Tamandua tetradactyla: one gene and its partner. The protein of the gene in region 1 interacts with the protein of each later gene in a biochemical or structural test. Links are inferred from orthologs where the notes say so. Each region holds a gene or a part of one and is shown on either strand. Other genes may lie near its edges. The genes, in order: SELP and CD24.

What was found.
Region 2: the proteins of SELP (region 1) and CD24 form a complex in vitro, tested with the Homo sapiens proteins (2 studies listed by BioGRID and IntAct). The link is inferred for Tamandua tetradactyla from reciprocal best matches to the Homo sapiens genes SELP and CD24.

What each region holds. Positions count from the first base shown.
Region 1 is NC_135330.1:23,441,697-23,450,743, reverse strand, and holds the start of SELP (P-selectin), read left to right. Parts: upstream 1-5,392; 5' UTR 5,393-5,569; coding exon 5,570-5,572; intron 5,573-9,047. UniProt on the Homo sapiens protein: Ca(2+)-dependent receptor for myeloid cells that binds to carbohydrates on neutrophils and monocytes. Mediates the interaction of activated endothelial cells or platelets with leukocytes. The ligand recognized is sialyl-Lewis X.
Region 2 is NC_135334.1:14,875,543-14,883,979, forward strand, and holds CD24 (signal transducer CD24), read right to left. Parts: upstream 3,714-8,437; 5' UTR 3,637-3,713; coding exon 3,400-3,636; 3' UTR 1,885-3,399; downstream 1-1,884. Other genes in the region: olfactory receptor 8C8-like, read right to left, coding at 1-924.

The DNA of each region.
Region 1 (9,047 bases):
AAGAACTTTCTCTAGAATTTTTTGTAAGGCAGATCTAGTAGTGACAAATCCCCTTGGTTTTTGTTTATCTAGGAACATCTTAATCACTCCTACTTTTCGACAGAAAGTCTTGCCAAAATAATATTTTCCGTTATCAATGGTTTTCTTTCAGGGCTTTAAATATTTCATACCACTGCCTTCTTGCTTCCATGGTTTATGATAAGAAATTGGTACTTAATCTTCTCAGGATTCCTTTTACACAACTCATTGCTATTCCCTTGAAGCTTTTGGAACACTCTCCTTGTTCTTGGCATTGGATAATTTGATTACTATGTAATTATGAAACTATGTATTCTGTTTGGGTTTCCTTGGGCTCCTTGAATGGGCATATTCATGTCTTTCATTAAATTTTGGAAGTTTTCTAGCATTATTTTCCTGAATATTCCTTCTTACCCTTTCTATCTTTCTTTTCCTACTGAGATTCTCATAATATGTGTATTGATAAGCTTAATGGCTTCCCATTGGTCTCCCAGGTTCTGCTCAATTTTCTTAATTGTCTTTTCTTTCTGCTCTTCAGCCTGAATCATTTCAATTATCTTATTCTTTTTATTTCACTGATTCTCCCTTCTGTCAGTTCTAAGCTACTCTTGAAACCCTCCAGAAAATTTTTCATTTCAATACTGTGGCTTTTACCTCCATTATTTGTTTGGTTTATTTTTGTAATTCTATCTCTTTACTGACAACTCATTTGTTCATTTATCATCTTCCTGATATTCCTTTTCTTTGTGTGTGTTTTCCTTTAGCTCTTCGAGCATATTGAAGATTATTTCTTTTAAAGTATTTTTCAGGCATGTTGAAAGTGTAGTATTCCTGGTTGATGGTTTCTGAAGTTTTATCTCATTCCTTTGATTAGTCAACATTTCTCATCTCTGTGTTTATCTTGCAATCTTTGAACAAACAATTAAAAATTTTAATGTGTTTAACTCCATAATTTAGTCTTGAGCTGTCTGTTCCTTAAGTTTATAACTGGCTAGTGAATTGACAAAAGTTTCCTTGAGTATCAGGAGCTAATAAAAACAGGCACCCAATGCAAAAATGCCTTTCAGTCTTTGCAAATTGGCTCTGCATTGGCTGGTGCTCTCCTTTAGAGTTTATCTTTTCTACTAAGAAAATCATTCTGTGGCAAAAGCATGAGTCCTCTCTATATATTTTTTCATTTTTTGTGAGCATGTGTCCTGTCCTGGACATGCCCTTGTGGCCTAAGGAATTTCCCTGTTTACAGAGATCTGAATATCTACTCACTTTGAAGAAGACTTCTCACCATCCTGAGTGCTCCATAGTCTTTATTAGTGCCAGTAATCCTTTTCCAAGGCTATTGTGATTTGATTATTTCTTTACTACTTTAGCTGTCTGAAGCTGCCTTTACCTGCAGGGCATGTTCTGGGGAGGCAAGCCAGACACAAGTGTCTTGGTTTAGTCCAAGAACTGAAGGATTCGATGAGGTAAAGCTTTTTAAATGCTTTATTTAAAGCTTTTTAAATGGCACAGTCTGGCCAATAGAATAAGTGCTCAATAATAGTGGCTAATGAATATAACCATAGCTCTGCTTTCATTTCCTCACTGACTTTTTAAATAGTCTATAGGTTGTATTCAGCTACAAATAGGTCACCCATTTAACTGTGTGTCTAGCACAGGTGATAATCCTTCTGTCATTGCCTTCTGTCAATCAAAGGGCCCCAGACATGTTTTGGGGAGGGCAAAATTACCTTTAATGTGAAAAATCACTTCCTATTTTATCTACAGAATTTAGGATGTTTTGTGACATACATATTTAACCACTGAACTTGTATAAAACAATCTGACTTACTCTACTCAGAGGTAACCTCTGTAAGAACCCTTTCCACCCATTTCCCACCTTCCCTGCCCCACCTCCACCATCAATGTGTAATCTGACTCATACCACACTGTTCTATAATGATCTGTTTATATGCCCATCTCTGTCCTGGCCTTTGACCTGAATGAGGCTGGGGTATGTGCTTTATTCATCTTTGATTCTCCAGAGCCTGGCTTAGGTTATAACACGGGGCAGGTCCCCACAAAATGTGTTGAAGACTAAATGGGTCTAAGTGGGCATAAATATGTCAGCGTGGAATGTGTCATGAATTCTGTTTCTATTTAATATTATGTGGGTAGACAATTGTGAAAGTTCAGTTCACTATCTGGGACCTTTGCCAAACTGGCTGATATCCTTGCTTTTCCTTCCCTTTCAAAAACTGCAGAGGGAAGATAGAGAAAAGAAATGCTTAATAATAATACCACAAACCTATTTAAAAAGAATTTCAGCAGGAAGAGTTAGAAATTCGTGAAATTTGTGTAAATTATCTTCTTAAAGCTATATGGGGAAAGTTGATTATCTTTGGCCATGACAGCCAGCCATCAGGAAGCAGACACTTCAGAAATACAGACCAGAGAGTTTCCAGAAAGAAATGGGGCAACTTCTCAAGAGCCATATCTGGGAAGTTTTGATAAGGACACTTAGGCAACGGGAAGGTTAAGTTTATCCTTCATTTCTCATCTTTATGTTGTATCTCTATCTCTATCTATATCTATACTTATATCTACTTACATTTTGGGGCCTTTTTTTTAGTTGTGATGAAGCGGAACTATACTTAATATGTCAGAAAGGTACATTCTGTATGAATAAGTAAACAAAGCAGATTTTAAAACCGAATCTACAATATTATTCAAATTCCATTAAAAATATATGAACGAAAAACAACAACATGTTGAGTTGCTACCTCTTTGGTGATAGTACTATTGTGATTTTCCCCCCTTCCTTGTGCTTTTTTGAATTTCCTTTTTTTTTTGAGAAAGTATTATATTGACAATAAGGAGAAAAATTTATATGCTCTTTTTTTTATATATATAGTTTTATGTTATCAATGTAACCTATTACGTAGAAAGTTTCCTAGTCTTCTCTGAGTAGAGGGACCAGCTATGCAGGTGGAAAATTTCCTGAGGAATTAAACTGGTTCTGACTCAATCCCCATGAAGGCCACAACCATAACCTGGCCTAGAAGGTTCCCAACTCTCCCTACCTCTCCAGCCTTTTCTCCTGCTCTCCAGTCCCTGTGGTTGTCTCTTGGTTCCCAGGTTGCTCCAAGCCTCTGCTGGCCTAGAAGACTCTCCCTAACCATGATACTCCTAATCAAATTTCTGACCTCAGCTCCAAGGTCACACCCTCAGGGGAGGCTTCCTCAGGTCAAGTCTCCATAACATTCTTTCATTGAACCACATTTTTTTCTAAGTGCACTTATTTTTGTGGCTTTTATTTAACATCCGATGCCCTTCTAAACCATGAGCTGCATAAGGGAAGGGACTAAGTCCCTTTTTGTTCACTATTGAATCCCTGTGTAGAACCCTGCTTGGAGATTCGATGGGACTTAAATGTTTCTTCTGTATGTGGATGTACCATGGTAATAGAATAGAGTTCAGAGAGGAAGGTGGGAGGGAGCACTTTCATTGTGTCTATCCAGAGTCATCAATGAAATCAATAAGCCAACAAGCATTTGTTGAACAACTATTTTTCCTCTGCAAGATACTGAGGGAGATGTAAGATTAATATAGAAAAGTGTCCTTGCCCTCAGGAAACATATAGTATAATATGGGGATAAGAGAAAACACATACAAAACAGATAGCTACCACTAATAATTAAAATAAATTGCAATCATATCTTATTTTTAATGGCGACGTAATCAGAAACAACCTAAATTTTCAATATAGATTAAATGTATATGAGAAAATTTGTATTTAGCCTGGACAGCTTTTAAACAAAGTCATCTCCTCCCATTCATATTCCTAGGAATCTTTTCTGCTTCCCTCCTACTCCTTAAAATTTAACATCATTAAACTTAAAGCATGTTATCAATATGAACCTATCAGTCTACATACCACCTTCCCTGATCTCCATCTGAGAATTTTTTTTCAAAAATGGGCAATGAAAAAAACAAGGGCCGGGTAGTGAAAATAAAAGCTGAAGGGAATCGAAGCAAATTTTATGGAAATAATAGCTAACACTTGCACTTACAGTTTGCCAGGCACTATTCTAAGCACTTTACATGTAAATTTGATGAATTGTCCTAACACTTCTATGAGGTTGGTGATTTATTATTCTTATTGTTGTTATAGCTGAGGAAACTTTCACAAGAGTTAAATAACTTGCCCAGGTCAAAAAAAGTTAACTTGTCCAAGGGGTCTGGCTCCGGGTTCTGGGTTCTGAATCACCATACTATGCTGCCTCAAAGTTCTCCATTTTTCCTCTACTTCAACTTCCCTCATCCCTCCACCAGTCACTTCTTCATCAACATCTCCTTCCCCAGTCTTTCTACTACTACCATGTAATTCTTTCCTCTTGGTTCCAAATTCTTAAATGCAAATTGAGGCTCAGATAAATCACTTTTATCTTTGGACTGTCTTCCAGCTCTTTCCATTTTATTGCATTTTCTTTGTCTTTCCTATGAGGTGCCTATGTACAAGGCATAACAACTGTAGAGGGAATAAAGAATAACATCCCCCTACTACATAACTAGATTCCAAGGGGATGCACTGGAGTGATGTTTTTCTGACTTGATACCAATTACTTGATACTTGGGTCTGCTACCAAATGTTTGTTGAATGCCAACTGTATGCTGGTTATTGTTTCAAGCATTCTACAGGTATGAGCTCATTTAACCCTAAAACAACCCTGTGAGATAGGTTCTATTCGCTACTATTCCATTCCACAATTGAGGAAACAGAGGCACAGAGAGTTGATTTAATTTGCCCCTTGGCTAGCCGAGGTGGAGCCAGGATGTGTCTCAGGCAGTTCAGTAGCAGAGCCCAAGTCTTAGCCACTGCACCACACAGCCTTTTAGGACCACACAATCTGTGTGACTAGAAATATTAACCTTTCCATTTTCACATCTTTTATTCAGACCTAAGAAGTTCCTTTTGAATGATCAATGTCTGTTTTATACTATTTTAAAATACTTTCCAATAGTTACCCTCAACTGCCAGAAAACCCTCAGTGGCTTTTTCCCGTCCTATATAAAGATTTTTGGCGAGTGACTATTTTTGCTCCTTTTCCTCAGAAGTTTGCTGGAATAGAAAAACGAACATTCATTGAGATTTCATGATAACTGGAAAATTTACACTTTGACATTTTGATTAATATAAAACATGTTTTCCAAACATTTAACCTTAAATTGTGATTCATTACATAACCAAAGGAAACGTAGGTCCTGGGGGCGGTGGGCACTACTCCATCACTGCTCACCCGGATTGCCGGGGGTGATTCACACTCTCCCCCTTTCCCAGACCACCTCCCACTGAGGAAAGCCGCCCCTTGCTTCCTCAGTCACTACTATTTCTAAGCTGCCAACATTGCTTCTGCATTATTAGTTCTAACTTCTTGGGAAGGGCTGTGGCGAGTTTCTGGAAAGTGAATAGGAAGTTGCTTTTCTAAACAGCCTGACACCAAAGCGAGGCAGCGAGACTTCAAGAAGTCTGGGTCAGGCAGAAGGCAGAAAGCCAGCAGAGACTGCAGAAGAGATGGTAAGTTCATTTCATGTTCGTATGGGAACAGATGAGTTGAAGTGGGCATAAGGAGAACTGGGGCTGAAACTAGGCAGCTAAAGAGTCAGGAACAACAAAAGTTAGGGAGCTTTATGTTAAACAGGATTTAAGAGATTACATGCACTTCAAAAGTTGCTGTCCCCTTTAACACTCCCCACAACCTTATGAGGTTGGGTTATTCATATTTTACATATGAAGACATCGTGGCTTACAGAGGCGAGGTGTTCTACATAAGGTTGCGCTGGTTCTTTCTACAGGAGCTTGCAGGGACCCTCTTGGACTAGGGTCACTTCTCCAAGATTGCTGTTCTCTCTGGGTTGAAAGGAAGGCATGGTGTGCCCTGGGACAAACCTGTGCTTGAATGGTTTCTCATTCCCAGATGTCCTATTTCTTTCAGTCTGCTGGAACTGATCTGGAGTATACACATGGTTACTAGTTTTTCCCTAAGTCTCAATCCTGTTTGTGCCTCAGTTTCCTCATCTGTAAAATGAATGTAGTAGTACTCCATAGTGTCATTGTGAAGATTAAATAAGATTACACTGGAAAGCCTTTAGATGTGAGCCTGGGATATAGTAAATGATCAGTAAATGTTAGCTATTACTGTTTTGAGAAAGAGAAAATCCTTGGGATGCAGTGGGGTTGGGGATCCAGCGAATATTAAAAAAAGACAAGGCATTCTTGAACTCCATATGGTTTTTCTAGATCAGACAGATATGCCTAGGTCACCTCTAATTTTATCCCCAATATACCAGAAATATCCCATACAAGTTCCAGAGTCTAAAATCCTGCACTTGAGGCTAGGGAGGACCCATTTAACAGTCTCTGCTCTTGGACACCTTTCCTTGGGATTCCAGAAGAAAGTCGTGTTTACATCAGATCACCCCACCTCTTTGCTTTACTATTTGTATCCTTTTCAAGTGCCTATAATGAGGGTTTTCTGTGTTGGGGAGAACAGGGTTAAGAGGAAGAACTCCGATGACATAAGACTATGAATTCCTCTTGTCTTATCTTTTGTATGTCATACTTCTCCTGAATTGGTCAAATTAAACGAATAAGGAGTGATTCCTCTCCTCCTTTGATCTTCTCTGATGTCTTCCTCTAATTCAGAGATGTGTAAGCATATTAGATCTTGGAGTCTTTGGAGATTCTAATGAAAGCTACAACTCGTCTGCCCAGATAAAAATGCCAATATCCACATAAACAGAAGGATCCCAGGTCAGGAACTCCACCCTATGGCCTCTTATGCTTTTGCTCAGAAGCTCCTCTTGGCATCCTGAAACCAGGCTGGAACTCTGCAATGCAGTGCTAAGGACTCTAGTCCTGGAATTGTGTTTAGTATTCCTAAGATAGGACCTCATCCTTCACCTCTAAGCACACTTGGCTTTGGAGAGTCAGGAACCTCAAACTGCTTGTGTTAATTCTGCTTCAAATTCAGAGAGTGGCTTCGATCAATCTCTAGGACCTGAGGAAACAACTTTAGGGTGATATTTTCAATCAGAAAGACCTGAGGTAACTTACAGTTAAATTATGCCAATGTTAGAAAGGGTTTTAGTGGGCTAAGGAGCAGCTTTGGATTCTCCTCCATTTATACCGTTAACTATCTCAGGTGTTTGACTTCCAGTTCTTGCTTCCTTTCATTGCCTGTTTTTTCAAAATGCAACGAAATGGTCCAGGGTCTCCTGGGCTGGCCATTGGCTCTTAGAATGTACAACCTTGGAGATCTCTAAGTAGAAGCTTATTAATCAAATCCACAAAATATAAAATATGATACTAGCAGGTAATATTGAGAAAAGATCCTCACACTGGTAAGTACATGGTAGTTTCATAAATCCATCCATTACATTGTCTTCCTGGTGTCAAGACTCCCTGATTGAAGAGCAGATCAGAAATGTTATAAAGCCAATTGCACTCTTTATTTTTGTAGGGATATAGCTTAGCCATTGTTCAACAAGACTTTTACATTTCTTTTAGGCATACCACTCTAGCGTTTAATGTTGCTGTTTCATCCTAAATAATGGTGAGCGATAGCTGAATTTTTTTGAGGGGATGGTGGGATGGGCAGGCACCAGGAATTGAACCTGGGTCTCCAGCAAGGCAGGAGAGAACTCTGCCACTGAGCCACCATTCCCTGCCCAATAGTCTAATTTGAATATATGCCTTGATTCTAAGTGTTCATGCCCCGGGCTTCTTGTCTTTATTTCTAATTTACTGTTTGGCTAAGAGCCTACCTCTTTTCTCTCTGTATTTCAATCTCCATTTTTAAGCTGGGGCTACTAATATCTGTGCTATACCACCCAGGTTCTCCTTTTGGTGGTACCATTCTCGTCAGTTTTGTAAACCACCTAGAGTGCTGGCAGCCATGGGTCTCCTACGGGTGTCCTGTGAAAGTGAGGTCTAGAGAAAAACACTTGCTCCTTTCACTTTCTGTCTGCCCCTCTTCTCACCCCAAAGTCATTTCAGTTCTTTGGAAATTAAGGTCAAAGAGAACTACAGTGCAAAGCAGCCTTAATGAAGGTTTACACAGGTCACAGGATATCATTCAAATGACCCAGGGCAGCTTGGAGTGGACTGCCTGAGAACATTAGAGATTAACACAGCCTCTAGCCACTTCTCCTAGAAAGGTATTGCCTCTTGTTACAACACTTAACCTGCTTAGTGACACAAGGACAGAATCCTTAATTCTCCAGTAACTCAGATCTTGCATGGTCCAGAAGACTATGCTGCAGAGCAGATGTGAGAAGGTCTGTGCACCCAATAAGAAATTTCATTGGAAAATTATTGACCAAGGGGAGATTCATAAGCATTACCTACCTCCATGCCCAAACCTGTACACAAAACCCTTGTTGGTTAGCCTGAACATTAGCTCAGAAATTTGAACTCAGGGTCCATTAACATGGTTAGACAGACGAACCTTCTGAAATTATTAAAAAAAATTGCAAGTGTGCATTTTTTAAAATGATCTGGACCACTGATTAAAAAAAAAAACATGGTTTTTTAAACAACCTTTCAAAGGAGTTCATGAGTTCTACTAGAATAAAAATTACTGATGTAACCCTATATGCATCCAGGTGTGTAAAATTGGGCAGATCATTTAAACTCACTGCACCTCAGTGATGGGCAGTGGCACTTGCCCCATCTTGAGCATCATGGTCCAAAAGACCTGCTGCAGAATGCCCGAGAAAAGCTAAATTGTGGCAGTAATTTTTATGGTGTTCTCCAACTCTGAGATCTGCAATGATCAGAGAAGTGACTCTCGGTATTAGTAATGGGGAAAAAAAGAGGAATATATGGTCACATTAAAGCAGGGGATGGCCAGTGACTTGCAGTTTCATTTCATTACTTTGATCAGAAAGCATCTAACCAGTCCTCTGAAACTTTAAAACATCATTTCCAGCTTGCCTGCCCCATTCACTATCTCTCTGTCTTGTTTGGTGTGGTAGAGGGTTTCCTGAGG
Region 2 (8,437 bases), on another chromosome or scaffold:
TTTCTTGAGAGCAGCTTTGACATCCTTGTTCCTCAGGCTATAGATAAGGGGGTTCAGCATGGGCACCACATTGGTATAAAGCACTGAGAAAAATTTCTCCTGACCCAAAGACCCAGCAGATGATGGCTTGACATGAGTGAGCAGCCCAGATCCATAGAAAAGGCCAACAGTAATTAAATGGGAGCCGCAGGTATTGAAGGCTTTGGACCAGCCCTTAGCTGATGACATGTGAAGGACATTGAAAAGAATCATAGCATAAGAGATAAAGATAATTATACTTGATACTATGATAACTGTACCCGCAATAATTGAAGCCACAATCTCATTGGTATATGTACTGCTGCAGGAGAGCTGGAGCAAGGGAAAGATGTCACACATGTAGTGGTTGATGATGTTGAAGTCACAAAACTTCAGCTTCATCATGCACCCTGTGTGAGCCATCGCAACAACAGACCCCATCACGTATGAAGCAGACATCAGCAGAGAACACATCTGAGGGGACATGATGATGGTGTACAGTAGGGGCTTACAGATGGCCACGTAGCGATCACAGGCCATGGCTGTCAGCACATAGCACTCAGAGCTGACAAAGAAACAGAAGAAAAATAACTGAGCCATGCATCCTGCAAAGGAGATGACGTTCCTCTCTGAATTAAAGCTCATCAGCATTTTGGGGGTAAAGACAAATGAATAGCAGAGATCAATGAAGGACAGATTAAAGAGGAAAAAGTACATGGGGGTGTGAAGGTGGGAACTGAAGCAAATAAGATGCATTAAAATTAAATTCCCCACTACAGTGACCACATGGTTCAGCAAAAACAGAAAAAACAGGGGCAACTGAATCTCAGGTTTGTCTGTTAATCCCATAAGGATAAACTGAGTCACTGAAGAGACATTTTCCACAGCCATTTTCTTCATGGGCATGATCTGTAGAGCAGGAGTAGAGGTGAGCTTAGTGATGTACAATCAATCTTATCCTGCAAAGGGAGATCTGGATCAGCAGGGTTACAAGATCAAGGTTTTTTGAAGACACAGGGTGAGACATCCATGTAACTGACATCCTGAGGAGATTCCCCAGGACTGAGAGTCCACACTGTTCTTCCTTCCTCTCTTTCCCTCTCTCAGAGTCTTGGTCATTGTGCAGAGGAGAATGAGGAGAGTGCTGGTAGACCTCCTAATGCCTAATTTCCTCCCTCTGACATGAGCTCCTGCCAATCTCATATCAAAGGCTGGAGTGCTCCCCTAAAATTCTTGTCTTATATAGTTGTAGGTTTGAAGGAGGTTACTAAATCAGAGATGATTCCTTCACCTGGAGACCTCACTGACACTGGACTTGAGGGTTATTCATCTCTACCATCGTGAAGCTGACAAGGTTTCTGACAATGAAGGAGGCAGTAGCCATCAGCACTGTCCTGAGTCTTTAACATTCTAGAAGAAGTATTTTTTTAAAGAAGTTGTAATTTCTACTTTTAATTTGTCCAGAAGGTCCTGTTTACTTGTGAACAGGAAAACAACCTTATATGAGCCTAAAGAACAATCATCTGGCTTCAGTGAGAATGTTTTTCCTGCATCACATCCTATGGCTTGGGGAAGATTAATTAGAAGTACAGAAAATTATCCTCTCCCACATGATTTCTTTCAGTTTGATGAGCCTCTTGAGGGTAGAAATTTCTGGGCCTGTGATTACATCCTGTATCATCGAACAGGATCCTCTGGGACTCAGTGTTCTGCTCAATTTATATATCATATAATGAATTCCTAATCCCCACTGCAAAGAACTGATGGCCCCTTGGTTGTTCCCCTGTGCATCCACTGGATACCAAGTGCAACTCTAAGGGAGGTCCTTGGAAATAGTCACTTGCCATTTTTTTTTTTTCATTTGATTGCTCTTTCAGCCATTTTTAATTTACAGTTTGTGTTCAATGCAAATCAATTCCATAACATGAGAAGGTACTATGAATCAAAGCATAAATACACAAACACAATATACAATCCAAAACAAGATGTATAGCATTCAAATATGCAGTAGAAGGGAATGTTCATTCACACACACAGTAGCTTTAGACCTGTTGGATCTGGTTTTTCCCTGTGGGTTTCTAAAGAAAAAAAAGATGGAAACAAATGACTGGCTATCAAGACTTCTGTGGTCATATTAGATACTAGGACATCTAAGCATCAGTGTGTGACCATGCGAACAAAAAACTTCATGAGAGTATTTATTTTTAAAAAGGTTTCTGTGCATTTAGGCAGTTGTAAAAGATTTACTTTCCAGAATCAAGCCAATTTTAGGCTTATGACCATGTTCTAACTATCTAAAAATATTAACTGATAAAGAAAGTGTTCCAAATGTGGCTATTCTGATTCATAGTTAAAAAAAGTATTTACAGAAAGCGTATAAAAGTTTTTGTGAATTTAATGCAGGATAGGTTCCAGTCTTCACTTCCCAAATACTGGATTTACATTATTTTTGGCTCCTTCACATTTGCCTTTTAAATTTCAAGACCTATCAATTTTACTTTCAAAACAGATCATTTATTAAATTGTAAATATACTCAACATATGCAGAAACAAAAAAAGCAGAATTCTGAAATTGGCTGAGGTCAATGCATTTCTACTCTTTGGAATCAGTTTAGCTAAATGAATCTGGTGCTGTTGTTGGATGGGAATGTGATAAGAAATGCCTACCATTCGATTTTATAAATGAATAAGCAAGATTTATTCATTATGCTTACATTGTGGGGTAGATTCCAATACATCATTGCCTGGCACATGTCAATTACAACAATGTCAAATCCCAAGCCTCAGAAATAAGAACTGAGTTCCCAAGAAAACAATGATAGCTGAACAATGTAAAACTTTTATCTAGAGTTTATCAGCATTAAATTAGTATTGGTGAAACAATACATGGAGAATGTACAGTAACACCTGGAGGTTCCGTCTAATGTACACATAAATAGAATCATGGGAGCTTTTATATTACCTAATCATTTCATGACCCTATATATTTAATGTACCAAATGAAAACTGAATCTCCATTCCACACCCCATTGTTTCTCTTTGGATAAGAGAAAATCTATTTGTTTTTCAAGGTAGAGTTTTAAGTGTCCCTATTTCTTAAGTCACATTCAAGGAAATAATCTCTTCATTTTGGAAGTTGTCTCTTTTCATCTTCTACATGAAACTCCAGCAGACTTAATATTGGCATTCATCATCAAGTCAAATCCTTCACATGTTCTTCAAACCAGTCAAATTTGGGATTCTCAACATTTTCTGCATCAATTAAGGTGTGGAATCAGTAGATTCAATGAAGACCTGTGTTCTCGCCACACTGGACTTTAGATGCCATTTGGATTGGGTTCAGAAGATGGGGAAGCATAGATGTTTCTTGATCTGAGTCTCTTAACAGTAGAGATGTAAAAGAGAGAGTGAGACCATGAGGAGGCTGGCTGTAGACTGCAGGACACTGCCGCTTCCTGGGGTGGTGGCATTAGCTGAAGTTGGGGCAGCCAAGGTACTCTGGGAGGAGTTACTTGAATGTGGCATGGGAGTTGTTTGATTTGAATAAATCTGCGTGGGTAAGAGCAGCGCCAGAAGCAGCAGCCCCAGTCCGAGCCTGGCCACCATCGCTTTGCCCATGTCCGCTCCGTCGGCGCGCTGCGAGTCCGGCTGGATGCTGGGTGTGTGGAGCACCACTGGCTAGGGGCGGGCACCGGCAAGGTCGTCACTTGCCATTTTTAATACTCTTCTACAAATCTCTGGATTAAATGAATGAAATAATAGATCATTGCTTTAACACTATACATGCTTATAGATTTCAACTCAGTGAAGTGAGGAGATGAAGTTCGTAAATGGACTGAGTTTAACGAACAATTCTCAAGTTCTTAATTGTAAAATTTTGAATGAGCTATGGAATTTCACTGAACTTTGTATCTGTATCTATAAAATGAGAATAAAAAATGCTATCTTATAAGGCTGCTATGGCTATTAAATGAGTTAATTCACATAAAGCATTTGGACCAGGTCTGGCAAATGAAGAGAGCCTGATAAGTCTTAGCTTCCTCTTCCTTTCTCCTCTGCCACATTCACATATATAAAGAGATTCTGAACCACGACAACTATATGCATTTTGTACATTAAAATATGTGTTGCTGTAGTGGGCTATGTATATATTTTATGAGGCACAGCATCCCTGGCCTCTACCAATTACATACTAGTATTCTGTCCCTGCAACCATTCACTCTGCATTCTGAAAATAAAAATTTCTGGACCTAAATGTCAGAACTTTTAATTTTCCCTGGGAGTCAAAACTGGCTAATTTTGATAAGTTCTGTTCTATATGTATAACTTAGAGATCTACACTACTTCCTGGACAATTCTAGTTTGTTTTACAGATTTCACAAACACAAATTATGCCCAAAACTGAGCATTTTCTTATGATCTTCTGTGACTATACTTGTGCTGCAGTACATTATCGCACTGTTGTGCCCTGCACTGTACCTTGCATTCTGCTACATTTCCACACCACAAACACAAGGCTTTAGACAACTGAAGAAAATCAACTCCAAAGTAAACCAATCAAGATATTTACATGCAACAAAAACAACAGAGGATCACTAAGCATATCACAATGCAGACAGATACAGTCAAACCTAATGACCAAATTAAAAGAGCAGAGGAGACAGATGTTGGAATAAGTAATCAAAGATATTCATATAACTCTACTTCATAAAATAAACGGAATGGCTAATGACATAAAGGAGATCAAGAAGACAGTAGACGAGCATAAAGAAGACTTTGAAAGAATGAATAGAAAAATAGCAGTTATCACAGAGATTAAAGACTCTGTTGACAAAGTAAAAAACATACTAGAGGCACACAACAGCAGAGTTGAAGGGACAGAAGAAAGAATAAATGATATCCAGGACAGGATAGCTGATTTCAAACACTTAAAACATGATAAATCCAAACAGGCCTTCCTCAAGACACATACTAATCAGTCTTGCAAATGTTGAAGGGAAGTAGAAAATTCTGAAAGCAGCAAGAGAAAAACAATTTACTACATACAAGGTAAATCAAATAAGACTCAGTTCAAACTTCTCAACTAGCACCCTGGAGGCAAGAAGGTAGTTCTATGATATATTCAAGATCCTAAATGAGAAAGACTTCCAGCCAGGATTTCTGCAACCAGCCAAATTGTCCTTCAAAATTGTGGGAGAGATTAAAGTTTTCACAGACAAAGAAATCCTAAAGAATATGTCAACAAGAGACTGGAGCTTAAAAAAAAAAAAAAAAAGAGACTGGAGCTATAAGAAATAATAAAAGGAGTTCTGCCAGCTGAAAAAAAGACAGGAGAGGGAAGTCTGGAGGAGGGCACAGAATTGAAGAGTACCAGTAAGGGTAACTTAAAGGATATAAAGAGAGAGAGGGAAAAGAATATATATTTCTGACAAATGAAAGAAAAATGATAAGATAGTGGATTCAAGAAATGTCTTTTCAGTAATAATTGTGAATGTTAACAGACTAAACTTACCAATTAAAAGATACAGATTCACAGAAAGGATTAAGAAATATAATCCAGCTATATGTTGCTTACAAGAGACTCATCTTAAACACAAGGATACAAATAGATTGAAAGTGAAAGGATGGAAAAAAGATTTTCAATGCAAATGGTAACCAAAAGTAAGCAAACTATACTAATCTCAGCCAAGATAGACTTTAAAGGTAAAGACATCATCAGAGACAGTGAAGGGCACTATATATTAATTAAAGGGAAAATTCATCAAGAAGAAATAGCAATCATAAATGTCTATACTCCCAAAAAAGGAGCTCCAAAGTACATGAGACAGACATTGGAAAAACTGAAGGGAGTAATAGATGTTTCAACAGCAATAGTAGGAGACTTCAATACACCACTCTCCTCTATAGATAGAACAACTACAGAGAAGATCAACATGGAAACAGAGGAGTTAAACAACTTGATAAATGAATTAGTCCTAATAGACATATATCAGTCATTGCACCCCAAACACCAGCATATACATTCTTCTGTAGTGCTCATGGAACATTCTCCAGCAAAGATCACATGCTGAGGCACAAAACAGGTCTTTACAAATTTAAAAACACTGCAATTATTCAAAGCACTTTCTCTGATCTTAATGGAATGAAGCTGGGCCTCAATAATCACCAAAGAATGAAAGCATTCCCAAATACATGGAGATAAAAAAACACAGTCTTAAACAACAAGTGGGTCAAAGAAGAAGTTGCTAGAAAAATGAGTAGCTATTTGGAGACAAATGAAAATGAGAATACAACTAATCAGACATTATGGGATGTGGCAAAGGCTGTGCTGAGAGTGAAATTTATTGCCCTAAATGCCTATATTAAAAAACAAGAAAGAGCAAAAATGAAAGACTTAACTTCTAACTTGTAGGAACTTAGGAAAGAGCAACAAACTAACCCCAAAGCAAACAGAAGGATAGAAATAACAAAGATTAAAGCAGAGTTAAATGAATGGGAGAACAAAGAACAATAGAAAGATCAATAAAACCAAAAATTGGTTCTTCGAGAAAATAATAAAATTGAGGGCCACTAGCAAGACAGACAAAGAAAAACAAGAGAAGATACAAATAAACAAATAAGAAATGAGAGCCTGAAGTAATAAAAGAAATCATAAGAGGATACTATGAACAACTATATGCCAACAAACTAGACAACTGAGGCAAAATGGACAAATTCCTGGAAACACACAAACAAGTTGCACTGACTCCGGAAGAAACAGAAGATCTCAACAAACCAATCACAAGTGAAGAGATTCAGTCATCAAAAATCTTCCTACAAAGAAAAGCCCAGGGTCAGATGGCTTCACAGAGGGAATTTTACCAAACATTCCAAAAACAACTAATGCCAATCCCGCTCAAACTTGTCAAAAAAAATTGAAGAAAAAAACTCTACCTAACTCATTATATGAAACTTATATTATTTTAGTACCAAAACTGTTAAAGATGCTATTAAGAAAGGAAAGCTACAGACCAATCTCCCTTATGAACATAGATGCAAAACATTCTCAACAAAGGATTAGCAAATTGAATCCAACAGCATATTAAAAGAATTATACACCAAGATTGAGTGGGTGTTATACCAGGAATGCAAGGATGGTTAAACACAAGAAAATCAGTTAATGTAATAGAACACATTAACATATTGAAAGAGAAAAATCACATGATCATCTCCATTGATGCTGAAAAAGCATTTGTCAAAATCCAAAATCCTTTTCTGACAAAAACGCTTCAAAAGGTAGGAATCAAAGGTAACTTTCTCAACATGATAAAAGGTATATATGTAAAACCCATAGCCAGCATTGTATGCAATGGTGAGAGTCTGAAAGATCAAGAACAAGACAGGGATGACCTCTGTCACCATTGTTATTCAACATTGTACTACTATAAGTTCTAGTGAGAGCAATCAGGAAGGAAAAAGAAATAAAAGGTACCCAAAATCTAAAGGAAGAAATAAATTTTTCATTATTTGCATATTACTATATTTGGAAAATCCTGAAAAATCTACAAGAAAGTTACTTGAGCTAATAAACAAATCAGCAAGGTGGCAGGTTATAAAATTAAAGGGCAAAAGTCAGTTAATGTTTCTATACACAAGCAATGACCTAGCCAAGGTGACAATTAAGGAAAAAATCCCATTCAAAATAGCAACCAAAATAATCAAGTATCTGGAAATGAACTTAACTAAGGATGCAAAGGACTTGTACACAGAGAACTATATAACATTTTTAAAATAAATCAAAGAATATCTATATAGGTGGAAAGATATTTCGTGCTCATGGATAAGAAGGTTAAATATAATTAAGATGTCAATTCTACCCAAAATTAATCTACAGATTCAATGCATTACCAATCACAAGTCCATCCATCTACTTTTTAGACTTGGAAAACCTAGTTACCAAATTCATTTGGAAGGGAAAGAGACCCTGAATAGCTAAAGGTATCCTAAAAAAGAAGACTGAAGTGGGAGGATTAACACTCCCTGATTTTAAAACTTATGATAAAGCCACAGTGGTCAAAATAGCAGTGTACTGATGCAAAGATAGAAACATTGATCAATGTAATTGAATTGAGAGTGCAAGAATCGACCACCAAATATATGGTAAACTGATCTTTGACAAGGCCCCCAAATCCACTGAACTGGGAAAAATTAGTCTGTTCAATAAATAGGCATGGGAGAACTGGATACCAACAGCCAGAAGAGTGAAAGATAACCCTTAACTTACACCCTATCCAAAAATTTACTCAAATTGGATCAAACACCTAAGCATTAAAAACCAGTACCATAAAGATCCTAGAAGAAAATGTAGGGAGATGTCTTCAAGACTTACTTCCTAAACTTTCCACCAAAGAATAAGCAACAAAACAAGACACAGATAAAT